Drosophila melanogaster: one gene and its partners. The protein of the gene in region 2 interacts with the protein of the main gene of each other region in a pairwise test. Each region holds a gene or a part of one and is shown on either strand. Other genes may lie near its edges.

Region 1 (9,528 bases), on a different chromosome or scaffold from region 2:
TATGTGAAAATAAACAAACTAGCAAATATGAGCTTAGATTGTTTTCTTAATGTTATTTTTTGGAATCTGCGTTATATATAAAATGAAACAAAAACTCTTCTTAAAAAGGTAAAAAAAAAAACAATCTTTCGATTCGTGTATCACTATGATTTTACCATCAAAGCCTTCGTACACTCCTGGTGCGCTTCGTTACTACGTGGACTGCCGTTCAAAGTGACGTCTTAATATATCTTATGTATATGTATAGTAGGTGTTCTTTTAGGCCACCAACTATTTTATTTAACAATAAGAGTATAAAATATATTAGTATTCTAATATTCTAGTGTTAGCCTACCCAATACCAATACCCAGAAACGACCTTATACATTTTTTTGTTTAGCTTATCAATATTAATTGACGTTCCAAAAATTGCTAAAGCCAAAGTTTAATAAGCCTATAAAAAAGGCATTGATAGCGTATTCAATTTCTGTTTGTTATTTATTATTTATATATTATTTAATTATTTACGCATTTGTTAGGGAAAAGTTATCTCTCTATTACTTTTAAAGTTCTTAATTTATAATTTGTAAATTTCTAGCTGATTTCCTTTAAGTAGAACCTTAAAGACCCAGTTGCAATGACTAAAATATGTTTTAAAGTTCTGTGTCAAGCTCTACAAACACCCACCATAGGCTTACCTTATCATTACACTAAAAAAAAAAAAGTTAAGCAAGTTAACAATAGTCATTTGCATGTTAACATAGGTTTCAGAAAACCACAAACGATTCCAACGCAAACAGCACTGTGACTCTTCCCCCATAATAGGGGAATTATTGGGGGATTATTGGGGATTACATTAATTTGGTAACTGTTTGAAAATATTTTTATAGAAAGTTTATTTAATTAGGTTTAGTTTTGACGATATTTGAGAGACATTCCAGGCAGCAGATACAAAGCAAACAAATATATCACGTTAAAGGAATAGCGTCGAAGTTTTATCCAGATATGGTTGCCTTGAAAGGGCGCAATCACATGGTCGTGGAGGCGTCCGAGTCCGAGGCGACAGCAGGAATCACCGAAGACACCGTTGCGATTTCGGTTGATCTCCTGGCGCAACTCTGTGATTTCGTTCGACATTTGTTGAGCACTCTCACGCAATTGTTCCAATTCTCCAGTGTGCCTTAAGTAGGAAAGTGAATAAGAATTAGATTAGCCTATAGCATATAAGCATATAATTATAGCATATAATTTAAACAAAACGATAAAAATATAACAAGAGAGAATGCTACAGTCGAGTTCCCCGAGTATCAGATACCCGTTACTCAGCTAATGTGAATGCGAATGCGAAAGTTCATCATTATTCTGGGAATAAAATGAGAAAAAATTTAGATTTCGGCGGCGAAATCTCGTTAGATTGGGCGTGGCAAAAAGCTTTTTTTTTGCAAATCGATAAAAATTTACAAGACTTATAAAATTATGAAAAAATTTCGAAAAATGTTTACAGAAATTCCTTTTCACATATTGTTTTTTTTTTTTTTTGTAACTGATAAGACTTAATATAATATAAAGTGTACTAAAGCATCGGAAAGCTTGCTCTATCTCTCAGTCAATTTAATCATCCCGAGCAAACATGGGATCGATCGTGGCCACAGCAGCTATTCTTTTATTCTGCGTCCTTTCGGGCGAAGCCTGTAGGTATTGTGTCCCTATGGAGAAGTGCTTAATACTAAGTCGAAAACTAAATAGTTGCCCATTTAATCACGTCTGTTGTGACATTATCATAAAGGTGTATATATTTTGATTAGAATCCCTGTACGCAGATTTGGAATTAATATTTCATAATTTGCAGAGTCCTTATATCCCTAGCGGACCGAATGAGGAATCCGATTCTGAGTCTGCAGTATGCTTATTATTTTAAATTGCAATTGAATCTGTTTAATATTAAATTTTCAACTTTTCAGTCATCTTCTACAGAAGAGGAAAACATACCAACCTTTATCTATTTTCCAACGAGACCAACAGTCTCAAGTGAGCCCCAAAACAATGTTTCTACGGAACCTGATGTACCCATTACTTATTGGCCACTTAAAGGATCGGGCGCCCCAACAAATGATGGTGCGCAAGCTGAGCAACCAAAGCCAACTGAACGGACACAGCCAGGAGGCAGGTGCAATACGACTGGTCTATATTCCTGGGTGGTAGCCCTATTTTACGAAGAAGTTTACTTGACCGGCGGCTCACTAATTAGTCCAAAAGTGATCCTAACGGCAGCCCACAACACAATGAACAAAATGAATGAAGATAGAATTGTGGTTAGGGCCGGCGAGTTTGTCATGAACACAACAAATGAACCCATTCAGTATGAGGAGCGCGTTGTTGAAAGGATTGTGAGACATGAAGGATTCATTTTTCAGTCGGGTATTAATAATGTGGCTCTTATTTTCGTAAAAACACCGTTCGTGCTAAACGATCGCATTGGAGTATTGACGTTGCCAAGCCGACAAGCGTCGTTCGAGGGACGTCGCTGTACGGTTGCCGGTTGGGACTTGGTGAGTTCCCATGATCAAAGCCGTATGAGAATTATAAAGAAATTAGAGTTAACCGTGTTGGACAGAACGACATGCGTGGCTCAGTTTAGAAATACAACTTTGGGCAGGAATTTTGATCTTCATCCGAGTCTGATTTGCGCCCGAAGTGAAATAAACCGGGATTTCTGCTTTGGCGGTGGAGGTTATGCATTGTTCTGCTCCCTCGGAGATGAGAATCCACACGTCTTCGAGCAGGCTGGGATCGTCGCCTGGGGCATGGGGTGTGGATTGGACCTCCCGGGAATCTACACCAATGTGGCAATGTTCAGAAGTTGGATTTATAATAGGATAGCATACTTTGGCTAACGCTTAAAGATTATTACATCAATTCTTCATTAAGATTGTGATTATGCATTATTGTATAAATATACAAAATAAATGAATTTTTAATCAAAATCAAATTTAAAAATTTTTTCATTAAAAAAGGTTTTTGAGACGATATTAGCAAAGATTTTTAAATCGATGTCCATAATATTCAGCTGAATATATAGCGTTGCATTTATATAGCTTTAAATATTTACAAAAAAATAGGAAAAATAGTACAAATCGACAGTGGCTAGGAAAATCCCAAATTGGAAAAAAAATAGGCATTTCACTCGGCGATAATCCATGCATCCTAAGGTCAGTGTTATGTATATAAATGTGTACATATTTCAGATGATAATTCTTTTGTACGCATATTTGTAGTTCTTTCCTCTTTATGTTTTTTTTTTATATATGCGTACATAAAAAAAAAATTTTTTTTATATTGAAACTTTATTACGTGTTATACAGGTCACGTTACTCGAAAAGGTAAAGGGTAGATACATAACTCGATTAGTTAAAAGGTATGTAACAGCTAGAATTAAGCGTATCAAATCCTGTGAGATATATATGTATAGTCCTGGGAATGATCGTTACCAGTTTAATTAATCTGAACATTTTTTTTGAAAACTTTAATGGATATTTCCAAAGAATTCGGAAATATCTCTTTCGCAATCTCTTAACTTAAGCGTTTTCTGTGCAATCTTTGGGAATAACACAATTTATGTGCATATGCATGTACATATGTACATGTACATATGTACTTCGAATACATCTTTGTCGGCTGATAAGCTTTTAAGCTGCTCAGCAAAGAAATATAATGATACCCACTGCCAGCCGTTCGTTCACTCAGTTTTCTGAAGCAAACATGAAGCATTGTTGGGCAATCGGAACTCTACTCTTAGCAAGTGTCCTTATGGGCAATGCCTGTCGACATACTTGCGTTACCCGGAATTTTTGTTTGTATGAGGAACCAACATTTGATTACCGCTCCAGTAATTGCGGCAATACCAAAATTTGCTGTGCAGTTCTACGAAAGGTAAGCTTATACAATTGTTGAATGCGATTTATTGTTAGCTTGACTAAGTGCAAATTTTCTATGACGGATAAAAGCCTGGAGGTACGGTTTTAATTGAACCAAATGGCCCCGAAGATGATAAGGTTGGAGTAAACGGAATAAATGCACAACTATCGCCTACACGCGAACTCACTAGAGATCGCCCAAATACCATTGAGTCACAAGTAAAGGAAATCAACGACTTCAGTGGGCGTCCAACCAACAACGAAAGGAATCCAGCAACCGAACCGAACAACGGCGGGTATACAACACCCAACGGTGGGTATCCAGTAAACAACGGTGGGTATCCAGTAAACAACGGTGGGTATCCATCAAACAACGGTGGGTATCCATCAAACAACGGTGGGTATCCAGTAAACAACGGTGGGTATCCAGTAAACAACGGTGGGTATCCAGCAAACAACGGTGGGTATCCAGCAAACAACGGTGGGTATCCAACAACCAACGTTGGAAATCCAACAAACAACGGAGGGAACCCGACTACCAATTTTGGAAATCCAACAAACAACGGAGGGAACCCGACTACCAATGTTGGAAGCTCAGAGCTTTTGTCACCAAGTTGCGGCATGAGCAACGCAAATGGCTTGCAAATGGTAGAAGGAATAACCATTGATCAAGCACGACCAGCTCAATATCCCTGGGCTGTTGCTATTTTTCACAATGGACAGTACTTGGCTGGCGGATCCCTGATTCAACCAAATGTCGTTCTAACAGTAGCTCACCGGGTAATTACAATCGAAACCGAACTTGTGGTCAGGGCCGGCGATTGGGACTTAAAATCCGATCGAGAGATATTTTTGTCTGAGCAGCGCGAAGTTGAAAGGGCAGTAATCCATGAAGGATTTGACTTCAAATCAGGTGCCAACAACTTGGCGTTACTTTTCCTAAATTCGCCCTTCAAACTGAATGATCACATCAGAACTATCTGTTTGCCTACACCAAATAAATCGTTCGCAGGACGTCGTTGCACGGTGGCCGGTTGGGGAAAAATGAGATACGAGGATCAACGATACTCCACCGTCCTGAAGAAAGTTCAGTTGCTCGTGGTAAATCGAAATGTTTGCGAGAAGTTCTTGAGGTCGACCAGGTTGGGCGCTAAATTTGAGCTGCCCAAGAACATCATTTGCGCCGGAGGCGAGTTAGGCCGCGATACCTGCACCGGTGATGGAGGATCGGCCCTATTCTGTTCAATCGGAGGGGAGAACTCTGGTGTGTACGAGCAGGCTGGAATAGTAAACTGGGGCGTTGGGTGCGGGCAGGAGGGCATTCCGGCCATATATACGGAGGTGTCCAAGTTTACAAATTGGATTACCGAGAAGCTGCTGCCCTTCGATTACAGGAGTGGGTGATATGTCAAAAGGAACGACATGATGCAATAAATGATAAAAGCGCTTAAAAGTGTACATTAAAGTGCACAGTAATGCAAAGAAATTGTTATTGTAATAGTGCTGTGTTATTCGTTATACAGATGGGAAAGTATAACGATAATGAGCATGAGCATAAATAATCTTACTCATTAATGTCAAACAGTTGCTCCTCCAGCATATGCAATCTCCTTCCCAGGTTGTAAATGCACACCTCCTTTTTGTGCAGTACACGCTGGTACCATTCCCGCACCTGGCGGTACTTGTTATCTCTGCCCTCCGCCAGTATCACTTCCTGGATTAGCTGGTCCTTTTCCGCCTGCAATCTCTGCGTCGTACGCTGCTCCTCAGCTAGTTGCTTTTGCAGGCTAGATTGTTCCACGTAGGCGCTGAAGAGCAGCCGTTTGGTTTTGTCAGATACTTCCTCCAGCTCATTGTACTGCAAATTAGGAAACATTTATATCAATTTTCTATAATAATATAGACACAGCTGCAAAAAGTATGCTTGTTAGTATGAAGAAGTGATACTTATTAATTAAGTTGAAGGAAAAATGAATTCGTTTAGTACTTTCATATAATCCTAAATAATTCTACTAACCTCCTGCAAGCGCTGTTCCAAATCGGTTTCCAATCGCCTTTTCTCTGTTGTGAGGTCACGGACCGAGTTGACAAGAGATTCACAGGAGGACCTTACTTGGTCAATGCTCATCGTCGATAGCTTAAGCTTTATTTGAAGTTCCCTGTTTCGTTTTTCCTCCACACGCATCAATGTGCCACATACGTGCAGTTCGTTTTTGGTCTTCATGGACTGGAAGAAAGTGGTGAGTAACATAATCCTATACGTATAATTCGTATAAACAAATTGTTAAAACCATCAATACTAACGCTATCCTGGAGGTGTTGCACCATCTCTTTGAGTTCACGAACCTCCTTTCGGCGTTGGCGCCACGAGTGCAACACCACCATGGTGAATAACTTCATGCTTGTAACGGATTTCCTCTGGATGGACAGTTGTGGCATCGATAGCACCATCCGTTGCTCATCTATTGCGTCTTTCGCTATTGACCCATAGCTATTATGAACACCTTGTCTATCCATTAATTCAGCCGTGTATTAAAGTGTTAAAAAAAAAACTTAAATTTTCTTGTATAGCGTTTGCGTTTGCTATACCAAATTAAAAAATATACGAAAATTGGCCTTACATTCCCTACTGAATAGTTTGCCACTTCGAAAAAAGGCTGGAAATATAATGAAGTTTTAATCAACGCTACCTCAGTGTATAAAAGTTAAATCTTTAGCTTTCCTTGCTTTTTTCGCAACAAATACGTGGAATCGGCCAAGGACATCAGGGGTTAACTGGCGATTTGCACGCACACTCGAATGGTTCTCAAGGATTTTCAGGTTGCCCTACTGTGTCGAAAGCAATACTGTCCTTGAAATACCCTTTCACTTATAAAATACCCTTATTCCTATTTAATTATTAAACTTAATTACTTGAAATTCTCTTATTCTCGTAAAATAAAATGTAAATAGCTTTTAATGGAGTATATGCACAGATTTCCTGGAACTGTGTCTTTATCAATCAATTTTTAATGAGGAAAAATATATTGTTTTATTAGCTTGTTATGTGTTTGTTTTTTTAATTATATAGATCTTGCACACACATCTATGTATGTACATACATATGTACATATAGACTTGTTGTGTACAATCATTTTTAAAGAATTATTTTTTACGTTGTTTTGTAAATCGCTGATGGCTCTTTTAAAATCGTCGATTTGCTTATGCAACTCATTGACTGAAATACCAGACGAACTGGCTGCCACAACTTGAGCAAGGACCTTGGGGCAGGGGCGTGGTTAGCTGTACACTGAAAGAAATTTTAGTGACTTAGCATGTAGCTATGGGGGTAAGTAGCAACTTCGCTCTTACCTTCACATTGAATGGGACACCGACAACATTGTTGGGTTAGTTGCCCCACCGCTGTCAAGGACACGTGCCACAGGAAGTTCAAAGAGTTTAAGGCGAAAGTCCGACAACCGGAAAAAATCAATAATGTCGTATACACGGGGTGCAAATGTACATATGTGTATGTACATGAAAATGACTGCCCCAGCACGTGTCAGCTTATAAGGGGGCAGGATCCATTAAAAATTACCTCGCGGGACTGGACGAATATCGCGTGATTTTCGTGGAAAACCCGCTGCAATTGGTTGCCGGCCTTGTGGGAGTGGGAGCTTCTCCATTCACCATTGTTTGATCGATGTCTGGACTCCATTAACCGGGTTGTTGTTCTACGTTCGTGCCATCAAGACATTGCGAGTTGACTTAGTCCCGCAATTCCCCCACTCCAATTCCACGGGCGGCGATGGCAATTGATGTGGAATTTCAATACTAACATTTGACATAATTCCTATTTATTTGCGCTTAGCTCACGTGCACTTATGTATGTATGTATGTTTACCAGGTGGCATGACCTTCGTGCCAGTGTGGTTTTGATAACGATTTACGATAATGGCGGAAAGTCCTTTTTTATGCATATGTACGTAGTATTGGGAAGAACTTAAGCATGTGGATTTTGTGTCACCGACCATCCAACTTTAATTAATATTATTTTTATTCTTATTTACTTATAAATTTTTCACAGTAATAAAATAGGAACATTTAGTACTTATTTGTAATTTTGTCATGAAATTATAAAAATACTACCTGGTTCTTTCGCATGTATTTCAAACTGATAATATTTCGTTTTCCAAATAATGTGACAATTATATTTTCTATTCATCGTTCATATTTAATAATTTGGTTTAATTAGCTGAAAAACCCAAAACATAAAAATCCTTATCTAACGTGCGACCACTTTTTAAGCGATGTATTCAATTATCAACTGTACTGACCCCCATTTCCCCAGAAGGTGAATCAGCAATATTATCAAATTCCGCGTAACAAGCCGTCTTGAATGTCAGAGGTCCTCCGCCCGGAAAGTGAAAGCTGCTCCGGAATGCTGAGCACGAAGCAAGTGAGTCACGGCATTGAGACTCTGCCGCAGTGGAAATTAATGCCACAACAAATGCCGGCGCAGGATATTATCCTTTTTCCAGGAATCGTACGCTGATTCAGACCCCCCAACCGCATGGGTGGGAGTGGGGTCTTAAATGGATAGCTCGCAGCCACACACACAGATAGTTAGTGCTCACCGTGCTGTTTCATTCATAAAAGCTGAAAAAGCTTTTCGGAGGCAGTCGCTCGTGGAGATGAGTCACATGTGAAAGACACTGAGATAAATGACGGAAGTTATTTTTTCCATTTATATTTTACTTTTCGTAAATATGCATATATAGTTGGAATATTCGGCTATTTAAACGAATCTCACATTGAAAATCGAATTCTTGATGATTGGTTACCATACAGTTGAATTCTCAATATTTAAGAAAAACAAAATATTTATATTTTCCGATTCCTTTGGGATGCTCCTAATAAAAAGATATGCATTTTCAATTAATTAGGTATTCCTTCAATATAATACGTGTTATAGATTTAAAAGGTGACACATTTTAAAAGCTTTTGAAAGAAACAACTGGCCTGCATTCCTACTAATCGGTATCAGTCAGATAAAAACATTTATATTATATGTATGTATATATTGTTTCGCCTTTATGCAATCATCGCGTATTCCTCGAAACTCGGATTTGTGGAAGATGTGGACATCTGTAAGCTATAAGTCGCAAGTGGAAAACTTCAATCGTACGTGACTCAGCACATGCTGATCTCGCACTCTTCGCCAAGCTAGGCTCTTCGGATTGTCTCTCTTCTGAGCTTAAGTCGAGACTGCAAAGAGCAGAGCTTGGGGCCGACTACTTAACTCCGTTGAAAGCTTCGCGATCTGCAAGTTTTGCGGTATTTTTCAGTGGCGCATACGGTATTGAAAGTTTGGCTCGCCTGTTTCTTCTTGGTGGGCAGTTAGTGTTCAAATCGCGGGCGTCGAGATCGGTTGGTAGTGCGTGTGTTACGGGTATTTTATCTCCACCTCCAAATTGTGCCTTATTTACCTTTTTCGCTGTGCTTTAAGCTTCCGCTCTCTTTCGCTCTTCTGGAGCTCGAAGGCAGGTTGAAATACCAGTAGATAAAAATAAAACGAAAAGTAAAAGAGCTGCATAAAAACGCATAAATTCAATTGAGCTCTAAGCAAGTTTCACTTGCTTTTTCGTATTACGAG
Region 2 (9,189 bases):
TCCCCGCCGGCTTGTTCAGCTTTTTGCATATTTTTCTTGTTCGATTTTTATCGCCGACGACGACGACGAAAATGTTGCGCAAATATTTGCGCTTTTATGTGCATAGCAAAAACCTTAGCTCCTCATTTTTTATGTCTCTTTTTTCCATCCGACTTGGAACATTTCACCACCCCCCATTTCTTTTTGTGCATTCAGATTTTCGCTTTGCAGATGCTTGTTGTTGCTGCTTTTTATGATTTACTTGTGCTTTGTGTTTGTACTTTGGTTCGTATTTGTGTTTGTGTTGGTATTGAAATTGCTACACTGAAAACAAAAAGTCGGCTTTTAAATTTGCTTTTGTTTTATTTAAAATTCCGTAGGAACTACTGGTTTGCATGTGCATTAACCAAAATATATTATATATATAATAATACTTTATATTTTTAAATATCAAATTGCCATCAAATTTTAAAAAGGTTTTTTTTGGAAATTTTTCTAATGGTTATGTTTAAAATATGACACGATTTTAAAGTTTTATATTGCCTTTTTTTGCTTTTTTATAGTTGAAATACATTTCAACACAAATTTTTTGTCTGTGTACTGATGTGTATACAGTGTTGCAAAGGTAAATTGGATTGAGAAATTGAAATCGCATTCAGCGGCAAAGGGGGCAGGCGGGCGGATGGCGAGAAATAGGGGGCAAGAGCAAAGGAGATAGAGGAAAATCTTTTCCGTTTTATTTACCTTATTGATTTTCCCTTTTGAACAGGTCGCTCTCCATGTATTTGTGCACCTCCGGCCGAGATAATCGAGCTGAAGTTGCATTTCCCACTTTGCTGGCGAAAAGTTTAATGGATTTTTCCACCATTCAACACCGAAAGGTGTGCTTTAAAAACTTTCCTGCTGTCACTTATTTCCCATTTCGTTCGTACACCTGCCGCATTTGCCATTTGTTCGACTAACTTAGGCTTGACAATTCTCAAAACATTCATCAAAGTCCGGCGCTAAAACCATTTCCGTGTTCTCATTTCTCCCCCCGCAAACATTTTGTCAAACATGAAACATTCGCCTAGTGACGTCACAACTAATTAGAGTGGAAAAAGAGGAACTTTTCTTTGTCACCAAGTCAAGTTATTTGTTTCTGAATGCTTTGCCTAATTAGTGACTTCAACTTTGCTAATATTATGAACAAATCTATAATTATAAGAAATAAAGAAACTATCTTATGTTCAGTCTTACTCTACTTTTAAGTTTTATTGAGAACTATTAGCTCTTCTCCATATAGCCAAGTTTAAACTTTCATACCTTGAAAGTTTTAATAATAACTACAAATCCTTAATGCTTGACTTCAAAATGTTTATTCGGTAAATATGAATATGAAAACACTATATATCTACGACAAACATGTTTCAGTTATTTGGTCTTCAGTGTGTGTGTGTGTATGTGTTTGTGTTTGTATCTGTAATGCAAAATGACTTAAATAACAATAAGGTTTCTGTTCGCGATTGGTGCAAACGTGTTGGTAGTTAGCCTAACCCAAGCACCCAAATCCCAGATCCACGTGGATGCGGCCCCATGGATCTCAGTAATGGCGCTGCATCACCCTGTCCAGATCGTTCCAACTGCATGAGTAGTCGATCTGCAGTAGACCCTTCTTGCTCAGTCCGAATTTACGTGCGTAAATTCCCGAGTAGAGCGACGAGTCACCACCGCTGGAATGATGGGGCGATGAGCCCCTAACCCGACTGCCATCACCACCCACCAAGCCGCCCATGGTTCCGTAGAGGGCGGAGGGTGCGGCATAGATCTGCTGCTGGCATTCGCTGCAATCCGGTATGCTGCAGTACGGCAGTGAAGCATAGGGATTACAGTAGTCGTAGGCGGGCGAAAGTGGCGGCGGTGCGGGGAAATCGATCTGCGGCGGAGCGGCCATGGGCGCCGCCTTACCGCTTCGCTTGCGCCGCGGATGGGGGGCAGTTCCATAGCTGCCGACCATGTTGGTGCTCCGCTGCATCTCGCTGGGCACGGAGCGGCGTTGCATCGTGGCCGCGCGTCGTTGGAGAACGGGCTGCTCATCGCCAATGGAGGAGGGATGCTCCGTGGAACTGGTGCTGGAGAAGCCTGAAACGTGTGAGATTACACGGCATTAGTGAAAGCTATCAAAATCATTTGGTATTTTACAACAGCTACATTTATATTTAAGCACTCGATGGGTTTAAAATCAATAAAACATTTATACTTACATATAGTTTGAAAAGGATTAGTAATCAAAATATATAACAAATACTAAGTAATTAATGATCCCCAAGTACAGAAAATCAAATTTCATTAGTCAAGCTCAAAAATCAATGATTTTGCCAGAGATTTGCAATTAAACGTTAATCGAATTGCCATAAAAGACGCACTGCGTAAATTGTAACAATCAAATGGAATCGAAAATGAAATCTAAATGCATTTGTGTGATTTGCATACAAAGCTAACTAAATAAATTGGTTATTACGAAACAAAAGGAATTTTAAATTAAAATCTAGTTTTAAAGGGGTTTCGAATTTGCATTTGCTATTTGCGTTTTTCACTCACCTCCAAAGCCATTGTACAGTTGCCGCTGCTCCTCGCCGTAAAGATCTTCCGGCTCCTCATCCTCGCCGTTGTCCAGGTGCAACTGCCTGGTCATGGTGGCCATGTAGTCCTCATAGCGGCTGGGCACACCGTAAATATCGCTCCTGGCCGTATAGAGTGGCTCCTTGCGAGCGCTGCGGCTACGGCGACGAGTCCTTTGGGGCACACAGCACTCAAGTTGGCACTGGGCACGCGACACCCGGCGACTTTGGGTGTGGGGGCGTGGCATTGTGGCCGACATGCCCACACCCATACCCGCACCGGCGGCACCCACTCCGTATCCGTATGTGGGACTGGTCGTCAGCGAGTTGCCACCACCTCCGTAGGCAGGTTCAATTGCCTCACCATCACCATCACCACCACCGCCACCGGTGACATCATCGATCTTCTTGCGAACATAATCATAGTTCTCCAGATCCCAGGGATCCACATAGCAGCGCTGCGAGGGCAGCAGCGTGGTGCCATATATATCCTCCGTGTTGTCAATGGTATAATAGGGGGATTCCAGGGCGCCCACTCCCTCCGAGGAGCTGCCACCAGGTAAGGCCTGTTTTGGACCGGCTCGTCGCCTTCTTGGGGTCGTTTGACTGCGTTCACGCATGCTGTAAGAAAAAAAGGCAAAGAAAAAATACATAAATATTGGTTGGGAAAATGCGGAGATGGTGCGCGTGGTGTGGGAAAGCCATGAGCAAGTGCATCAACTGGTTGCTTACGCAACGCACTTTGTGGCCAATACTGAAAACTCTTCCGTCAACGAATCGAACCCGTTCTTCGGCGTTGGCCGCGAATTTTCCGCGGCATTAATGCCGGCTTAAAATTGCACACCGGCTTGGCTATATCTTTTGCAGGTGTTACACTTCACGACTTCAGATTGCAACCATTAGCCGGTTTATGGATCTGCATAACTTAGCATGGCCAATCAATTGGCATTCCAATTGCCAATAAGCCGAGATATTCCATTAGCCAACAGACTGGTTTACGTCAAAGGAAAACTAACAAAAAACCCATCCACCCGTTTCGGGCATCGAAAACAAATTGCTTTACTTATCAAATTTCATTAAAAAAACAAAAAACTATTTAATTAAAATCTGAAATGGAGCCCGTCGGCAACTGTATAAATTTATAAAAATATGCGATACAAAATCAAGTGGAATAAGTGCCATGCAAAAAATACACAAATTTCCATTTTGTCGAGAAGGTTAACTAGATTTTCGATCAGGCTTGTCAGTTGCAGTGCCATCGAAATGGAATTAAAATACACCGAGTTTTCCATTGTAAAACTAAATAAATGAAAAACGTTCAGTTTTTTTTTAACTGCATATTCATTTCAGAGTTTATTTAACATAAAAGACAATATCAACATGTAATAAGCGAAAAACGGTTCACATTTCTTTCATTCGATTAAATCTCTACCGAAATCTGAATGAAAAGCATGAATGGGCACAGAAAATATTAATATTAATGCATCTGTTTCCGCAAAGTTAAAAAAAATACCTTAAAAAATATTAAATTAAATTTTTAGGCAAATTTTTCGGCTGATATTTTACATAGGCTTTTGGTTTTCTCCGGGGTTTTCCCCTTAATTATTTCTACAATATAAAACGCCCATTTCAAAAAAGGGTTTTGCGCAATCTTTTCGAGGCATTTGTGATTTGTGCATTTGCATAAAAATGTTGAGTTGGTTTTGTTTTTGCCTGGTTTGTTTTAATCTCTTCGGTTATCGATTAACATTTGTATGGCCTGATCAAGAAAAAAGGTTTCCGATGGGAATATATTTTTTATAAAATACACAAACTGTACCGCGAAAAAAAAATAAAACAACGTGACTTGGCTGTGACACGCAAATGAAATCGTTTATCTGTGTATCTTTCAGGGTCTATAAACTTTTTATGGCATATATCCAAACAAAACAAAATATGCACACAGAAGCCCATCTGAATGCACTTTCAGTGATTTGCACGCGAGTGAAAATGGTTTAGGGCTTGTTTTTTAAGCTATTTATTATTTAAAGGAACTCCAAAATGTAGTCAATCCAAAACAAACAATGTAGGCATACAAATTCTGCACTCTATACTTGATATTCCAGTTATTATTCTAGATAACTGATGAATAAATTGATAAGAATAATAAATGTTCTTGGTGGGTGAAAATCGCATTACGTATGCGCCACGTGGCCCTTTACCGTGAAAAGTTAATTGCATGCGCAGTGTTTAGACGCAATTAGAGTTGAATATGCAAACACATTCGTGGATATGGAACCACTTAAAACCCCTAAGACCCTGTTAATTAATTGGCATCTTCGGACGGCACTTCCACTCCTTCACTGCGGTTGGCTGATTGCCCCGGTCAACCTCAGATACAGATTCAATTTCGGATTCAGATTCATTTCAGCGTAAAGTGCCGCTTTGACTTTGGCTTCTGGCCATTTGCATATCAAATGTGACAAGTTCGCGTCGAGTTACTTTGTGTAATCAGTCGGGCTTGTTAGCGTGTTTGGTGATTGATAGTGGTTTTGGCCACCTGAGTTAGGCTTAAAATAAAAGACAACTATCAATATTTGTGCAAATCCGGGCTATTAAATGCTATTAAGACGGATGACCGTAATGGGATATTTAAATAAAGATTAAATTTAAGTATACTAAAAATAAACTTATTTAAGATAAATGTAGGTTTGTAGGTAGCAACCACAAACACTCTTTATAAATATTAACTGGTAAGATATTCCACTATTTATATTTTACTACTCAAAATTTTGCCCACCTCCATAATATTATTCGATTGACTTTGGTTTTCTCCGAATATTTCAATTAAGGTAATAATTAACAACCTGTCCATGTCTCATTCAGCACAAATTATGCAAAGGTAAGGTAAATATTTCGACATCGGATTATAATGCAAAATAACTGGAAACACGTTTGCCAAATGCCAATCGACCTTGCTAAGTATTCAAATATATAAATATTTATTCGAGTGATATCATGCCCAATTGTGGATTTACATCAAACCAATCGAGAGCAGGGTAAAATGAATTTAAAAAGTCACATCTTCTGCCGCACCTTTGAAAAAAGTATGCGAGACGAGCAGAAGTTTTTATCATGAATCACCTGAGAAGAACAGTTCTCTCGCATACCTGGGCGTAGTGCCCTAAAATGGTGATCATTACATTACACCTGAGATGCATTCGAATTTATGTGGCACAGACCCACGCAGATGATCACTCAATCTCGACAAGCCCGCAAAAGATTGAAAACGAACATCAGACGGAGCTGAAGATACACCTAAAAAGATACTTGGCAGCCTGCCCACACTAAAAAAATAGCAACTTTCTTTGCTTTTGACACAGTTTTCTGGGCAGTTTCATTCACCTTGTTATTTATTTGGTTTTGGTGTTGGTTATAAATTTGAATTTGTTTTATGCCGTCGGTCACTTGTCACAGAGCACTTTTATGGTTATAGAACGCTCTTTTAGCCAATTTGTGAATTGTAAATTTCAAACACGTCCGATCGGCACATGATCTACGCGCATGCGCAACCGCGTTGTGTTCGCTTCTTCGACCGGCGCTCAACTGTTTTGGCCAACGGTTTGAGCCAAGTTACAAGTCTTTGGCGCTTCTCTGCCAGCATGTTCGAACGGGTTTGATCCTCGGTCTGAGCTCACCTCACATGTTCGCTTGCCAATTTCCATCAAAATTAATCAGAGATCCCATTCAGTCTTTATGTCTTTGGCTAGATGTAATTTCGGCCGGCCTGTAAATTAATTAGCAGTAAATTAAAATGACAGCAGGTGGTTATGTCACAGTCGCAGAGCTACTCAAAGTCACATTGATATGCAAATTTGAGAGTCGTTGAAATGCGGCTGCGCCAGGGAAATGCCATAGATATGTAAGCAAAACTGGGCTTCATTACACAACGAATTGAAGTTGCTCTAAAGAAATGTATCTAAAAACTCAGTTAAAAAGTAGAAATTGTAATTTGAACTGTCATCATTTAGGAAAAGAAGCTGATTCATACCCAACATATATTACACCCATTTTCGAAACTCATTCAACTTAACCGCATAGTGACCATAGCCGTTGCTAGAGTAAGTGGTTTAAAAAAAAAAGCAGCTGCCAAGTTCAAGTCTTTTTCACTTGCGGAAAGAAATTGAAATCGCTGCTGAGAGAAATTGCATCACTTCAACTTCAACTTCAACTTGAACCGACATTCGGGTGGGGCAATGTGCGCCGCCTTTGAATTCATCAAAAGAAAACAGGTGATGAGCATCATTTCTCATTCGAGACTTTTCCCATCTCCAGCAGCTAAAGCCCAAATAATTTATGCAGTTTTTTTTGTTAGCTACCAAAAGGTATTTATAAAATTAATTGTTTGAAAAAACCTTAAAAAAAGCTTTCACTTTCAGTGCGGTGGCGGTTGGTTTTTTGTGTGGTATCCCCAAAGTCGTGCCGATATTTATGGTGTTTATTCAGTCAGGTCAGTTATTATTTCCTATTGCGGTGAGTGTCGAGTGCAAACAATCAATTGATGGCCCATAGACCAAACCAAAAGCAATTCAATTAAGCCAGCTCAAGTGGGCCACACTTTGTGGTCAGATGTGTCACCAGATAAAAAAGCAGGCAATTAACAAATAATTGTTTGGGGAATTTTAAAGGATTTGCGAAATCTCAGCGACCGCAGATGTTATGCTTCTTAAATTATTTAAAAATATAAATTCCTATCATATGTTAGTATTTATATACATATATATCTTTAGAAATATATCTATAAATGTCTTGCAAGCTCATGCCATTCAGCTTTCGAATGTTATTTGGATTTCTGGTCACGAGAGCTTCGAAAATTGTTGCCTTCACCGGGCATCCATCCATCCATTGAGTTCATTTAGCCAGCCTGCAGTTCATCAGGCCTACATTCCTTGCCGTAGAATCCCAACCCCAATATAGGTACATATGCACTATTTGGACCCATTCAGAGGCTCTGGAGCCAGAGCAATTTGCCGCTTTTAATGGCGAACGTCGTTTTGGGACTTGGGCAGCACACGTTGCCAACGCACAGGAAACCGGCTGCACCTGGCCACCCAGCGGGGGGCGGTGGTGATGCATTTTCCGGTAATGGTAAGGGGGTGGTAAGGGAGCGGTGCCGCAACCAGATGTTTGCCTTTGACTGGCGGCAGACTCGTTGATCTCTGCTCCAATTCCAATACGTATGTGTGTGTGTTTGCTCGGCTCTTTCGGTCGGTATCTATCTATCAGATACTTCGCACCGGCGACATTGCAACATGCTCTTAGTGATGGCAAGGAAAAACTGCAAAGCTATTTCATATTGGCAACAATATTGCACAAGTAGTAACATCAATGATTGAGGAGTACATATATCTGATTTCAATCGATATTGTAGGCCTCATATCGAATTGTACTGCCATAGAGCTTGCCATCAAAAAAAGATATACTATGTATCCTAAAGATATGAAAACATCTTGCATGAGTAATGAAGAACTATTTACATGTAATATAGCTTAATTCTTTGAATTCCTTACACTTATAAGTGAGTGATACTATGCATCTTTCAACGTTTTATGATTTCTTCAGTTTCTTTTGGTTATTACGATTACCACAACCAATGTGAATTGGCAACAGCTGCAGCGAGCATTACAGATGCTGAGTCGCAGATTGCGCTGCACCCAAGCCCAATACCAGTCGCAGTACCAGTACCAATACCTCTATACCTATCTACCAATCCAAATCCGAATCTAAACCGAATCGAATCGAATGGCTATAGCCTATAGCACATGACTCTTTTTACCGCTGTGCTCTACGCTTGTCACTCGGCTTGCCACTTTCGATTTTTCATAGCTGGGGCAGCCTCTGTGGCAGCGGCCTTTTTTGTTTTTTTTTCTTTCTTTTTTTTTGCAACTCACCGACGACTCCCTCCATTGGGGCAATAATTGTAAGTGGACCTGGGCATTTATGGCGTTTTTGCTACTCTGGCCCCATTTGGCCACCGTGTTGGACATTTTGCACGTGTTCGGCCCACAAAAGGAAAGCGACCGAATGGCAGAGAAACACAGGGAAGAAATATGGCCGGTAATTGTGTGCTTCCCATTTGGTGTGTCAGCAAAACGCTTTTTTGTGGTTCCTTTTCCAAACTCGGTACAATTGGCAGTATGTAAGAAGCCCTTTCCCAACATCCATCTTTAAGTGAATTATTCAAACGTAAATTAATCATTTAAGCCGAAATATGAGAGCCCAAAAGAATTTCATAAATTTGTTCAGCTCATCAAATCTACTAAGCTGTAAAAGATAAAATTGAGGATTACATTCATTTCCTTCAAAAAAAAAAAAACATAGCAATGCGTTTTAACCAAATTAAAACGTGTTTATATTTGACACAGTTAATATTTCATAATTTTACAATTATTTTGATTTATTATCAGTTGGCAATATTTGTTCTCAGCCATAAATCGTATCGATAAGCCACTTTTCGACTACGGTTTAACGACCCCGTCCCAACACAATGGGCCATAACTGAAACCATTAAATTTGTATTTAAATCCACTCATTGCTCAATCTGCTTGATGATGCAATAATGCCTAGTACT
Region 3 (6,741 bases), on a different chromosome or scaffold from region 2:
GCCAAGCTGACCTAAGCTGATGTACACTGGAAAAAATGTATTAAAATCGATACAATAGAATTGCAACATTATTAGTTTGAATGGTTTTAATTTTTTTCTGATCCTAAACTTCTTTTATTCGTTTAACTAGCTGAACATCGTGTTAATATTTCTATGATGAATGGAATTGAAAAATATATACTGAAAAGTTATTTTTCTCAGTGTCAATTGTTTGAAGCGTGGCGCACTCTACTGGCCAGCGAATGAAAATGAGTTCACGCGCTGCACTTGAGGTCGAAAATGGTCGATGGAGGAGGGGCGGGTACGGACGAGGGGCAGTTGGCGGACCGACTGTGTGCGGATTGATTTGCTTGGCGCATTTTCAAGTCAATTACACATATTTGTGGCATTTGCGGCAATTGAGTATGAAAACTCATGCGGTGGGTCGTTGCAGCAGTCGTAGGTGTTGGCCGTCTGTCTATTTTATTTGTTTGCGGCTGGGTTTGTTTGCCAGTGTGCGAATGTGGCATGCCACAACAACTCGCCGCATGTGTCCGCCCACCAAATGTTGAGGTTTTTCGGGGCTGACCAAGTGAGTCACGTTGGCAGTCGGGGCGAGCCACATATAACTGCATATATAGCCATAACTCATGTCCCAGTCGTTGCACAACGAACTCGAGAGCAATGGTCAACTGAGGGGTTAATGAGGTATCTCTATTTAAACAGGTAATAAGAACAGATAAAGAATTTTACTCGTTAAAACGAAAATGATATGTGCAAGTGTCTGGTTAATGAGAAAAAAAAGAACTCACTCAAATGCAGTTCACTCATTTTCATCAAAACGGGCAACAAGGTGTTAATTGCTCTTATCAAAACAGCTGATGGACAAAGCTTTGATCAGCCGAATCCCAACCGAAGCTTTAAAACAAAACAAAGGTGTGATAAGAAAGCTCAACAGGGCGCATGCGTAATATCCGGAGAGCGAGAGAAATGCCAGCGAAAGCTCAGTAACAAACAAAGTGATGTCAAGATGGGCTGAAGGGCGCCAGAGAAAAGGGGTTCCACAAAAAGTTACTCATATTTTGTTTACTACATGAGTAGTTACAATCGTGTTTATTCTCTGCTGTTTGGTGTATAGCCGGGAAACGACTACGTGAGAAATTTATTTAGTTGAGTTTGGGAAACTTGTGGTGACTGCGAAATATAAGCTAGTAACTGTGGGAACTGGTCACATTTCCGTGGAGGAAAGTGTTCAAATTGCAGTGGTTCGCCCAATTAAATAGTTTATTTACTCATTAAATTATGTAAAATACGAATTGCGGCGAATTCAAATAAACTAATAACTATCAAAAGAGAACTAACTAAAATTTCCCAATACAGCAAAATTTATTAAAATAGGTTAGTAATAACTAAATGTGTGGGTTCTATAACAAGCATTTTAACACAAAGGCATAAAATAGCAAAACTAAACATATATCAAAAATTTAACGACCGTAAGAAACAATAAATTTTACTAAGATACAGTTATTGACCACATTCGCGAATATTTAAGTGAGTAAATATAATGGCTAACTTTAAATTTTTAGAAAAAATAAGTATTTTTATAAGTTTTTTAGCTAGTTCTTCAAGAGAAGTTTATCTAATCGCTTCTGTTTACACATCGGTAAATATTCCTAATTGCGGCGCCCCGAGATCTGCCATAGATATAAACCAGATCCACGAGCCCATTTGTCGGGTGCATTCCTTGCACAGATCATTAATCACCTGATCGAGTCGATCGGTAATTCAATCCACTGCATATATCGAAGACAGAACTCTGGTATTTATTTAAAGGCGTGTTCCCTTATAGACTGCATTCCCCGCCCAGTGATTGCAACTATTTATAATACACTCCGCTCTCCGCCAACAAATATATCCGTGCACATACGAGTATATCTAAATTTCATCTGACTGTGCGTCTTTCGGTTTCGCACATGAAGATACGTAAACAAAAGCGTATCTTCTCGCCCCCGATATAAACAACAAACAAATAGATATATTTTGTTCTCCCCAAGCACTCTCTCAGTTAGAGAGAAATTTCTGCCCTATAGACGAACTCAATACTTCTTCTGTCGAATGCTCAACGAATTTTCTCCGCTCATTCGCCCGCATTGTGTGAGTGGCCAAAACAATCAAGTGAAAGCGCTGAAATTGTATTGTGGTGCGCCCAGCGCATAGCTCATAAACAGAGAAAAACAAGAAAACAAAAAAAAAAAAGAAGTCGCAAAGTCGGTGAAAAACTTTCGTCGGATACTGTGATACTGTGATACTACTGTGCTGCACAAGAGCAAAGTGCACGGCGCACGGCGGAGAGAGAGAGTTCGCAGCTCCGAGTTCCAAGTGTCAAGTTCCAAGTGCCAAGTGCTATCTGAAAATTATTTTACGGAACTAACGCAGACCCCGGGGCCTCGAACTCAGTTTCAGATTCACAGTCAGCGTCAGTCGCATGCGAGAGTTGCTGACGGGCGGAGCTGAGAAAAATTCGGAATCGGAATCGGAAAAATCGGTGACGAGACGAGAAGATATAGCACAGACGGAAACTGAAATCCCCGAAAGAAAAATGTGCTAGAGAAGATGTGCGAGTCTGCGAGTGTTCGAGTACATAAATCGCAGCGAAATCAAATGAGTTTTATTCAATCAACGAAGAAAGTCCGCCCACCAACGGAAGTGCTATATATACGTTTATTGAGTCTGCCATCTACGACATCCCGAATAAACTAAGCGAAAAGGTAAAAGCGAAAATGTGTGTGTATATGTGTATATGTATATGGGGGGAAGTACACGCCTTTTTAGGTGCACTTTAGGTGAAATGCTAACTACGAAATGCTTGAACCCCTTAAATGGGGAATGTGCATATGGGAAAGGTAAACTAAACTGAAAGACGGAAAGTGTGATTTGCCAGACGACAACTGGGGTTTTTTTTTTCAGTCATCAGAAGTGGCAGCGCAAATGTGCGCTGGGCTTTGGGCCAACTTTGCCTAGGGTCAACATCCTTTGACCCAATTATGGCATAGGAACTGCACAATCTCTGCTGCCAATTGGCAATGTTGCCTTCTGTTTTGTTGTGGTTCCGTCTGGTTGGCTGGTGTCAAGCCGTTTATAATGCGCCTCAATTTCCGTTTGCCTTTCTTTTGGGCCTGGCCTAAACGCATCCCCAGTAATAAACCCCCTCTCTTCCTGCCCTCCTATTATCCTTGCTACTGACACGCCTCAGAGTTTTGCAAGCGAAAAATTATGAATAGCTTGTGGGGTGCGGAGGAGGGCAGGACATTGGGGCTTTGGGATAAGGACTCAGGGGACTAAGGATATATGCGGGGGCGGTTATGCGGGTGTAGTTGGTGGTGGGCGCGGCAGAGCAGGCGCACTCCTTGCAACTCTCTCGTAAACTCTCTCTAGCGCGCTCTCTCGTAAACTCTCTGGACGAGGACTCCAAACCCCAACCCCAAGGATGTGCCTAACCTACCTTTTGTTGAATTTCATAGTATGTAGTATGATAAACGTCGTAGGCAGCAGTGTGAGTGTGTGTAAAACCGCTGTGGGAGTGTGTGTAAGCAGGTGATTATCTGTTGCCGTCGTGTATTTATCTCATTGAGGCATTCAAAAGTGGAATGCATACCGCTTTTGGGCGCTTTTAACGTGCTTTATCACGTTATATGGCGAGTCCTTAAAGTCGGGACTATGGGCATAATATTGAGTCATTCTGCGCAATATTTAGCCCAGTCAGTCAATGGTTCATTCAACAAGTGACTGATTCGTATCTGTATCTCACATTTCACATGTTGCAAAAACTGTAAATTTTTATATATTAACATGCCAGCGGAAATAGCTATAATTAGTAAACACTTGAATGATGACGAATTATGCGGCTATTATTATTTTCTAGCTTCAGCTTTACATGAGTTAATATTTCAATGGTTGCTGGAAAGTGTTAGTAAATGAGTAATGGCTTGAAATTTATTTTATTTCATTGCATATATTAAGAATTTATGGAACTCCATTTATTTGGTTTCCACTGTCACATTGTGAGCAGACATTACTGGCTTTATCTGCATCTCGCAGATGCAATGTGAAATGTGTCACGTACATATCAAAGATACTCGAAGATATTCCAGCGCGTGAAAAGCACTTCATCAGGAGCAAAGCTCCACTCGACAGCCTCTGACTTCCAATCCCTCCACCAGACCACCCACCATCCTGCTCCAGCCTTATTGTGCAATTTTTTTTATGGCAAGCCCTCTGTCGATTGAGAGCTGCGCGTGAATGGGTGGTTGGGTGGTAGGCTTAAATGGAAAGACGGGCTAAAAGTCATTAGGGCTAAGAGGAGAAAAGGCGACCCGCAAAGGCCTGCGAAGCCACAAAGCCGAAGGCGTTTTAATGAAGCACACTTGACAGTCATAATTCATTTGCAGCAAATCAACTCAGGACAGGCAGACAGACAAGTCCCCTACCAAAAGGTTGGGTCTTGTCCTTTAGCGATGAGGAGTGCAGGGAAGTCCATTAATGGAAAGCCATTAGCACACAGGAAGAAAACGTTGTCCTGCAACTTAAAAGGGTGTGTTTCTTGTCCTGAGTTATTATCATCAAATTATATTTAAACTGTTGGTTTCATGAAATTTTAATAGAAATATAAAAGATATATTTGGATATATATTATTAATGTGAATATTGTTTCTTGTTTCAGCCTCTTTTTTAACAATGGGCAAGGATCAGGAGTTCCTGGAGGCGGCGCGCAATGGAAACATTTCGCACATCGAAAAGGTGCTAACACAGAAGGCGAAAAGGGCAGGACCGCTGGCCAGTCTGCGTCGTGGCACCGGGGTAAATGTCCAGGACAGTGGTGGCTACTCCGCCCTGCATCATGCCTGCCTGAATGGCCATGAGGATATAGTGCGTCTGTTGCTGGCACACGAGGCCTCGCCAAATTTGCCGGACTCCCGGGGATCCTCGCCACTCCACTTGGCCGCCTGGGCTGGTGAAACGGAGATTGTGCGGCTCCTGCTGACGCATCCGTATCGACCGGCCAGTGCCAATCTGCAGACAATAGAGCAGGAGACACCACTGCATTGTGCGGCTCAACATGGTCACACGGGAGCACTTGCCCTGCTGTTGCATCACGATGCCGATCCCAACATGCGCAATTCCCGGGGAGAAACCCCTCTGGATTTGGCCGCACAATATGGCCGATTGCAGGCGGTTCAAATGCTTATACGTGCCCATCCGGAATTGATAGCACATCTGGGCACCGAGGCCTTGGAACGGGGCACACCATCACCATCGTCGCCAGCATCGCCGAGTAGAGCCATCTTTCCGCACACCTGTCTGCATTTGGCCAGTCGCAATGGGCACAAAAGCGTGGTGGAGGTCCTATTGTCCGCCGGAGTTAGTGTCAATTTGCTAACTCCATCGGGAACTGCACTGCATGAAGCAGCTCTGTGTGGCAAGGAGAATGTGGTCAGGACACTATTGAAAGCTGGCATCAATTTGAATGCCACAGACAATGAAGGACGCACTGCCCTGGACATTCTGCGCGAATTTCCACCGCATGTCACCAAACACATTGTGGCTGTGATCAACAGTACGTATGCGTAATTTACTTGCACATGCTCTTATGACATGGTTTTATTTTAGTAAAAGTTTCATATGGTGTTCACTTCATATAAGTGCATTAATACTACGTATTAGTGCAAAGTAATATATAAGCAAAGCTGACCCGATTTATACCTATGTAATTATACAATGCAATGCAGATAAGGAGAGGTCTTTTGTTGTTTATTTTCTTGAAAGTCATCACATAAGAATGCATGTGTATATATATCCATTATATTTGTTGATGAGTATCATCCAATGTATCTCTTCCTTTTTCCACAGACTTCCGTAACCAAATGGATACAGATGAGGGCGACGAGGTGATCTACAGGCAACACTCCGGACCACCCAATTCCGGACGTGGCCAAAACAAGCACCATTCGCAACAACAGCCCCCACTTAGCAATCACTACCATTTCAACTCCAACAATCACTTGCTGAATCATTCGCACTCCATGCAGCAATCCGGATACAGTAAACAGCGCCTGAGTGCCGGAAACGGTGGACCCTACAACGGAGGCAAGTCCTTGGACAGTGCCCTCCAGCCGGAGGATCGTTTCTACCAGGATCTCAACGCACACTCCCCACTGCATAGTCAAAAGTGAGTAGAAAGCTTCAATCTTTATACAATTTACTAAATATTTGTATATGCAATTCTTAGTGAAATGGGTGGTGGCTACAGTGTGAGTCCCTCCTCATCGCTGAGCAGCTTTGAGCCGGCCTCCGTTTCGCCACGATCCCGCTGCTCCACTGGTGGCCTTGGCCAACCCATGCATATGAGCACATTTGCACCGGCTGGTCCTCCAAAGAAGCCACCAAGACGCAACCTTTCCGTTTCGCCAACTCACGCAGGACCTGGCCAGCAGTTTAGCTATAGCTCCCCATCCAGTCAGAGCCAAAGTCAGAGTCATGGCCATGGTCAAAACCAGGTGCGCCGCCAGCCGGCCAGCGAAAGTCCCTACTCCCATCAGAGCCATGGAAGTGTTGGCGGTATGAGTTTCGATGAGACTCAGTTGAGGGAGCGCCAACGGAATGATCGTCTTTATGCAAGTGCCAGGCAGAGCACAAGATCCGCCATCGCCGGCGGAATGAGCCTAAGTTCAAGCAGTAAGTTCTGGAGATGATTTCGAGTCGGAT
Region 4 (7,404 bases), on a different chromosome or scaffold from region 2:
GAAAACCGTGCAATAAACATATGTATATAGATATAAACGGGCATATATATACAGTGAGCCAGCATACTTAAACTGGGTCAATTGCCGGCGTCGCTGCTGCAGCGCTGTCCTAACCTTCAGCATAAAAACGCAGCATAAATGCAGGCGCATAAAAACGCCAAGAGCTGGGCGCCAAAAGCGTGTCAAGGCGAGCGACAAACGGAGCAAAGCGACCGGAAGGTGACCCAGTAAATAAGGGGCTGCACGGGTGGCAGCGGGTAGCAGCGTGGTGGTCGGCTGGGGGAGTTGGCAAGGACGCGTACCGGACCCGGGCCCTGTTATCAGTGCAGGCGGCATCGAGCATGGCCAGCCAGGCAGCCAGCTCGTTCGGGCGGCATCGTTTGCCGCTCGGGAGTCCAAGGACTTCGAATCTGGCTTTCAGCCAAGCAGCCAGCCAGCCAGCCAGTTGCATTGTCCGCACTCACACAGTCGCACTTGGCACCGGGCCGGCACCGGTTCGAATCGCTCCTGTTCCTGCTACTGCTCCACAGCTGCGACTGCAACCGCTAAAGAGCCGCCAGTTGGAGAGCTGCTGCAGAACCACCATCATGCACACTATGGCAATGAATTACTACGTGGAGCGCAGTGACTACGAGGGCTACGGTCGCCACAGTCCCACGGGGGATAGTTGCTCGCGCTCCTCCACGTCTTCCTCCGAGGATTCAGTGATGCAGCCGTATTCCCGCCAAGTACGCTAGATATTAAAGGATATATTTAATTAATATTTATATTCAAGAGCAAACTAATAATATGTAATATGTAATCAATCTAATCAGAATCACCTTCTCTTGTCATTGCAGTCCAAAAAGTTCCGATGCGTCTATCGAGGATGTGTTGGCGTGGTAGACGATCTCAATGGAGTCGTGCGTCACATTAGGAAAACACATTTGGGGTAAGTGTACAAGTGGGAATGGCACTGCTATCAGAGGATTAGGTGGCGAGCAGCAAGTGGGCGGGGCCTTGACTTAGCCACCCGACCTTCTCGTTCCTTCCCCGCCAGCACTTCCACACGCCCGGAGCGGGTGCTGAAGGTGGTGTTGGTGGTGCCTCGAAAGTAGAGCACTCGAGCACAGTAAGCAGGTCACACGAGTGCGGCGTAGCCCCTCTCCAGCACGCAGATTACTTTGCAATGCGCACCTGCAGCAGCAGGCCAGCAATAGCAGCAGTGGGTGGCAGGTGCAGTGGTGGTGGCGCTTTTGAGGCCAAGGTCCAATTCAAAGCGCCCACACACGATCCGCGCTGAGCTTTGACACTTGCCAATCTCGTTTCCTATGTAAATCGAGAGGGGTTCCAAGTGGGGGTGCACAAATAAAAGACGCGGTGGGGCTTTGTTTTTTGCTGCTTTTGCTTTGACATTGTTCTCTCATCTGCATACATGCGGTATATCTATTCGTATATATATATATATATATATAATTGTATATGTTTTGCTTTATATTTATGTTTGCAGTGTATTGGGTGTTGTAGTGTTTTTGTGTTTCTACTTGCTGCTCTATAAAGTACAGTCCGCAAACAGGATACGAATGCGAGAATGTCGGGGTGTGTATAGGTTGGCGTACCTAACGCGTATATCTAGGTGTATATGCTTATATAGCGCTCGGCTTGCTGGCAGCGATATAGTTGGGTCTATGACAGGATCTGGGCTTGGATGCGTAACTTAGGATCGAACGAGGTGTGCCTCCACTGAACTGAATTAATCATAATCGTATTGGGGGTATAAGTATAATCTCTCGACCCAGGTCGGCCTTTAGTAATGATATCGTAGCTTAGCACTAAATCCTATGAGCAATTTCTTACATTTTGAAACGAACTAAACATAAACACGGTCGACAAGTACAAAAATTGAAACTAGCTGGAGGTACACACAATATATAGTATAATAACACACATAATAGATACAGTACAATCTGAATTTGTTGGTTTGTTCAAAGCTTACGGCAAAATCTGCAATTGGCAATCGGCATATTAACTAATAAACTTCCTGAAGCGCAGTCCCGTGCGGGCTAAATATCGGTATTACAATTCACATACGTTAAAAACTCTAATTACTATGGGCTTAAATTAGCTTAGGCTTATTAATATGCTGCGTGTTCTAAACAACTACATTAGTCTGCCTTGATTTGTTGATTGTTTGTATGTTGGTTACTTGCTGGGATGCTGGATTTCCTTCGATTTGTCCGATCGATTAAATGGGTAAGAGAAGGGAGGATAAGTATAGCACGATAGGGAAAGAGGTTGTTAAAAGGTATGCAAAACAGAACAGAACTAACTTTCGAAAATAGATAAAAATATTTTACACTTTTCAATAAATAACCTAATCATAAACTGTAACAAAACAAAAATTGGCAAAATTAGGATCAAGCGTAGAAAGTGAGCGGACTTAGAGCAAAGGGAATTCCCAGAAAGATGTATTGTTATTCGATCCACCGCCCCCCTAGTGCGGATGCATAAGTCCATGAGTGATGTCCATGCCTTCGCCTATTCCGTTCACGCTGATCCCTCCATTTAGCATGCTTGAAGCTATAGAAATTATAATCACATAAGCAATGAGATTATTATATCAAGGATTTGTTCTTACAATTGCGTGATCCTTGCGTGTCCACTTGTGTCCAGTACTGCTCAGATGGACTTTGGGTACTAGTCCCCGGCGGTGCCTGGACCGGGGCCCCCGTGTACCGAAAATACGGATTCTTAAGGTCCAGGGTGTTGCTCGACGAAATCAGCGTGCCTTCGATGTGTAGGTCGATGGTCACGTCATACGACTGCCGCCGATTGGCCTCCAGTAAGACACGGCCGGTCAGCGTCTGGCCCTGCTTAATAAAGATGGGCATGGGCAGAAGGCAGCGAACCTGATACCAATGTGTCAGAGGCGCTGTGGGCGACGTTGAGAGCCACACATTCTGGCTGCTGCCGCTAAACTCCACATCAAACCAAAAGGCCAGCCCATGGCAGATGCCAGTTTGCAGAATGTGAAACTCCAGGGGGATGCCTGCGGAAAGTCAACAGTTGGCCATTGTCGCAAATCACTTTTTCGGGTACTTACTTATCAAATGCAGATCGTCCTCCTTATCGTTGAGAAAGTCGCACACGTGCCGCACCGACTTGGCCATGCATATGCGGATGTCGAAGGTGTCCACAATGGGCTGTCGGAAGTACTCCTTCATGCCCTCTTTGTGCAGCGTGGTAAGGTCAACGCCGTGGAACGCCGACTGGTACCAGAAGTTGGCCTTGTTATATTGTTCCGAGTAGAGCGATTCGTCCGAAAAGGGTGCTATGTGCAAGTCGCCGTGCGTGGGGTACATCTTTCCTTGCGGCTTGAGCCACTTTCTGGCATGCAGATAGGTCTCCAACATGCGCTCGTTGTACAGCATATAGCCCATAGGCTCTGATATGATAACGTCCACTTTCTCGGGCAGCTCGATCTCCTCGATCTTCCCCGGTATCACAGAGATCTTATGCTGCACATTGTTGGACTCAACCAGCTGCTGGGCGTACTGGGCCATGTTGGAAGCCTCAATGGCGTACACTTTGGCAGCTCCCGCCTGCACGGCAAAGAAGGAGAGAATGCCCGAGCCGGCGCCCACATCCAGGACGATCTTGTCCTGAAAATCCACAGCATTGCCTAGAATGGCCCGCTGATACGTGCTTGTCCTTACATAGTCCTGCATCATGTTCTGCTGCTGACTGAGGTAGCCGTAGAACTGGAAGTACTGCGAGGCGGACGACTCCTCAGTGCGCTGCGAGAACACGGACTTGGGTCTCAAGTGCTTCACGTTCTCCACCACTTTGCGGAAGAGCTGCTGGTCCTGCTCGCTGGCAAACCTCAGCACTAGATTGTCGGCGTCCAGGGAAACGGCATAACTCCTTCGTCCCATTTGGGCGGCATCCGTATCGGCGGCTATCATGTACTCCTTGAGCACGTGGCTCCGGTCGTCGTCTGGTGGAGAGATTGGCGATATAAGGAACGGGTTTTATGAAACATTCGATGTCCTCTTTTACCTGACACAACACGGAGGACGACACCCTGGGAATCGTAGCTGCAGAGCAGCGTGCAGCTTCCCTTGTATTTGTTGGTAAACTCTAGCTTCTGCTCGTCGGCAATCGAGCTGATTACCACGCCGCAAAATTGGCAATTGCTCAGCGGCGAAACGGAGGCGGCGGTGGCCAGTTTTCGGGCCTCCTCGGGTCGCAGGCTGGACATGTTGGCTGGCTTTTTGGAGGGTAAAGAGGCAAAGGAACAAAGCAGGACCACAAGCGTCTTTTTTCCCTTGTTAATTGACAATGTAGACCTCGCTATACACACGCACGCACGCACACACACAAACACTCTAGCACACGCACACACACAGATACGCAGATGCAGACAGACAGACGCGCAATTTTTTCTATCTGCAAAATTTTCCACCACACACAAAATGGCTGGTGACTCGGGCAGCTGGATTAATTGGCGCTGGGAACTATATAGTGCGCTGCTTTTCAACTCGGACGATTACTCAAAATCGATCGCTCTTGTTGATTTCGTATTGATTTCACACGGAACATGCGTTCTTTTTTGCAAAAAGTGCTAGAGCTGGAACAAATAGTTGAGGCTAGAGGTGGGACCAAGTCCGATGCTTTTCGATAGGATTATTACCGCGCACTACCTTAAGACTAAGCGATTTTTCAGTCTAGTGAGATTTACAAAAGAATTGTATGCAAGGAAGCTTGCATCAATCTCAATTTCATTTTGAAATATAATTGAAAAAAAATAGTGCGGGGAAAAGAAATGTAAAAAGAAATAATATAGTTTTTTAAGTGGATAGAATCAAGGTTCAGAACTCTGGAACACTTCTAGCAGGGCCTCGAACCTAATGTGGGTGGTCGGCTAGTTGGCAACGCTAGTACAAAAAAGCGGTCGCTTGAAATGGAGAGTAGGTACCTAAATGAGGTACCTTAATAAATATTGACCAAAGTTTAACAGCAATTTTTAGCATTCATTTTAAAATATTTTTCCTATTTGTTTGAATTGAATTAAATCGAATAAACAACGTTAGACAACTTAAGTTCGTTAATTTAAAAGCTATCAATCTGATTTGAAGTAATACCGAACCTAGGTACATAACTGAAGCAAACTTGCCATCACTGACACATCCTTCTAATCAATTTCGCTATTTTTCGGTGGCATTGCAGAAAGGACTCCCATCGCTCCGCGGATGATGACGGAAATGAGGAGGACTTCTACCTCGAGGATGCCGACGACGACGTCGAGCAGGTGAAGCCCACTCTGGCCTCCGAGCCGACTCTGAGTCACCGGGACATGGCGCGTCCGCCGCACGAGGATCCCGAGTACCAGAAGCAGATTGTTGGCAACTTCAAGTGGGTTCTCTTGGTGCACGATATAGATACATTTAATGACATTATCCTTTTTCGATTTTCCAGGCAAGGACGCGGCGGTAGCCACTATAACCATCTAGCGCAGTCGCACGGACGCACCATCAGTGGCAGCAACATCCCGAGCACCCACCAGCAGCAGCTGCAGAACAACAACACCAGCTGCATCCCCACTTCGCACCTAGCCCACCACAACTACACATGCCCGGCGGCGACGGCGACAGTGGGCAGCTACTCCTCCACGGGGACGGGGTCGGTGGCGGCCAGTTCATCAGCCTCGCCGATCGGCAAGCACGCTCGCTCGTCGTCCTCCCGTCCGACCCACTCGGTAGCGCCATATCCATCGCCGACGTACGTCCAGCAACAGCAGCACCACCAACACACGCACCACCACAATTACGCCGGCAGCAGCGGCAGCAGCAACAGCAGCAGCAGCAGCAGTCCAGTGATCCACAGCAATAGCAGTGCCAACAACATGCTGCAGCAGCTGTCGCAGCAGAACGTCACAGTGACGGCGCACCACAGCCAGCAGCAGCAGCAACTGCAGCAGCAGCAACACCACCAGCAGCAGCAGCAACACAGCCACCAACAGCAGCAGCAACATCTCCTGTCCAGTGTGACGATCACGCCCAATTTCCATCCGGCGCAGCAGCAGCACCACCACCAACCGATGCGCGGCCACCAGCAGCAGCATCCACAGACAACTGCCGGCAACATGGTTGCCCAAAACAACAGTAACAACCACAGCAACGGAAGCAATCCGCTGCAGCAGCAACAGCACATGGCGCAACAGGTAGCCGTCAAGCATACGCCCCATTCGCCCGGCAAGAGGACGCGTGGCGAGAACAAAAAGTGCCGCAAGGTGTACGGCATGGAGAAACGCGACCAGTGGTGCACCCAGTGCCGGTGGAAGAAGGCGTGCAGTCGCTTCGGCGACTGAAAGCGACAGAAGTCGTCGACGGAGGCGGCAAACCAGGCGTCGGCGCACCAGTCCAAGGCAGCAACAGCAGCATCATCAGCAGCATTATCATCATCAGCATCAGCAACAGCAACACCCAACCCAGAAGCAATATCAGCAACTCCCAGCCCGGCAGCAACATCCTCAACGTCCTCTAAAATGACCACCACAGTGGTGCGTTTGGCGGCCGAGGTGGCTGCCGGCAAGCAGCTACCCTCGTCGTTGACCATCAAAACCAACAAGCGCTACGGTGGCCCGGTGCAGCAGCAGCAACAACAACCGCATCCGTATGCGGTCACCGCCAACAGCAACACAATTAGCAATCGGCCGGTGCGTATACGCAGTGTGGCCACCTCGGTGATTGTGGCGCCCATTGCCTGCGCAGCAACGACGACGAACACCACTCCCAGCCACATGGAGGACACGGATGCTGACGAGGATGCTGACGAGGAGCTAGAGGAGATGGAGCAGGAGGATCAGGAGCAGGTGGATCCGGAGGCGCTCGAGGATCAGGAGGAGGCACAGGTGGCTGCTGCCAACGGCCTGCTGGCCTGGAGCCGAGCAGCCGCCAATCAGCAGCAGGCGCAGGCTGTGCTGATGCAGGGCTAAGTCCACCTGAGCCGCCACCGAGTGCACCGATAGCTTGCTGACTCCTGGATGGCTGTCGGTGGCAGCTGTTGCCACCCCGAGGACACAAAACGCAAAAATGCAAATGAAAAATGGTCTCTTCTTATTTACTCTGCATTGAATTGTGCACCTTAAACACGTAACGGTATCTCTTTTGTTGTTGTGCAGGTGTTTGCCAACTGCCGTGCAAATGTTGCTGACATTTGCGCCCGGGCAACATTTGCAATCTACAATAATCTAATTATTATTATTATAATTATTATTATTACTATTATTGCAGTGCGTAAATATACATATACATATACATATTTATTTCTAAAATGACTTTGTTAATTCTTATGTTAAAAAGCTGAAAAGCAGTTGGCAACTTTTTATATACACAAAATGCGAAAGCAACAAACAGTTAAAAT

Evidence for each region.
Region 1: the proteins of CG8854 (region 2) and CG5050 interact in a two-hybrid assay, tested with the Drosophila melanogaster proteins (one large-scale study listed by BioGRID).
Region 3: the proteins of CG8854 (region 2) and CG4393 interact in a two-hybrid assay, tested with the Drosophila melanogaster proteins (one large-scale study listed by BioGRID).
Region 4: the proteins of CG8854 (region 2) and Art4 interact in a two-hybrid assay, tested with the Drosophila melanogaster proteins (one large-scale study listed by BioGRID).

What each region holds. Positions count from the first base shown.
Region 1 is NT_033779.5:17,450,107-17,459,634, reverse strand, and holds CG5050 (uncharacterized protein), read right to left. Parts: upstream 6,712-9,528; 5' UTR 6,411-6,711; coding exon 6,198-6,410; intron 6,121-6,197; coding exon 5,911-6,120; intron 5,752-5,910; coding exon 5,462-5,751; intron 5,373-5,461; exon of another isoform or gene 5,298-5,372; coding exon of another isoform or gene 3,984-5,297; intron 3,910-3,983; coding exon of another isoform or gene 3,739-3,909; exon of another isoform or gene 3,712-3,738; intron 2,966-3,711; exon of another isoform or gene 2,874-2,965; coding exon of another isoform or gene 1,941-2,873; intron 1,880-1,940; coding exon of another isoform or gene 1,829-1,879; intron 1,766-1,828; coding exon of another isoform or gene 1,610-1,765; exon of another isoform or gene 1,591-1,609; intron 1,160-1,590; coding exon 889-1,159; 3' UTR 860-888; downstream 1-859. Other genes in the region: CG18563 (uncharacterized protein), read left to right, coding at 1,610-1,765, 1,829-1,879, 1,941-2,873; SPH93 (serine protease homolog 93), read left to right, coding at 3,739-3,909, 3,984-5,297.
Region 2 is NT_033778.4:12,223,145-12,232,333, forward strand, and holds CG8854 (uncharacterized protein), read right to left. Parts: upstream 6,167-9,189; 5' UTR 5,964-6,166; intron 3,703-5,963; exon of another isoform or gene 3,201-3,702; 5' UTR 3,200-3,200; coding exon 2,560-3,199; intron 2,101-2,559; coding exon 1,562-2,100; 3' UTR 1,317-1,561; downstream 1-1,316.
Region 3 is NT_033777.3:23,380,506-23,387,246, reverse strand, and holds the start of CG4393 (uncharacterized protein), read left to right. Parts: upstream 1-2,469; 5' UTR 2,470-2,747; intron 2,748-4,425; exon of another isoform or gene 4,426-4,570; intron 4,571-4,699; 5' UTR 4,700-4,713; coding exon 4,714-5,593; intron 5,594-5,886; coding exon 5,887-6,205; intron 6,206-6,265; coding exon 6,266-6,711; intron 6,712-6,741.
Region 4 is NT_033777.3:9,981,440-9,988,843, forward strand, and holds Art4 (arginine methyltransferase 4), read right to left. Parts: upstream 4,622-7,404; 5' UTR 4,241-4,621; coding exon 4,039-4,240; intron 3,977-4,038; coding exon 3,083-3,976; intron 3,029-3,082; coding exon 2,618-3,028; intron 2,560-2,617; coding exon 2,474-2,559; 3' UTR 1,377-2,473; downstream 1-1,376. Other genes in the region: Glut4EF (glucose transporter 4 enhancer factor), read left to right, coding at 840-931, 5,209-5,394, 5,458-6,349. UniProt on the Drosophila melanogaster protein: Methylates (mono- and asymmetric dimethylation) the guanidino nitrogens of arginyl residues in proteins. May methylate histone H3 at 'Arg-17' and activate transcription via chromatin remodeling. Coordinates ecdysone-mediated expression of cell death genes.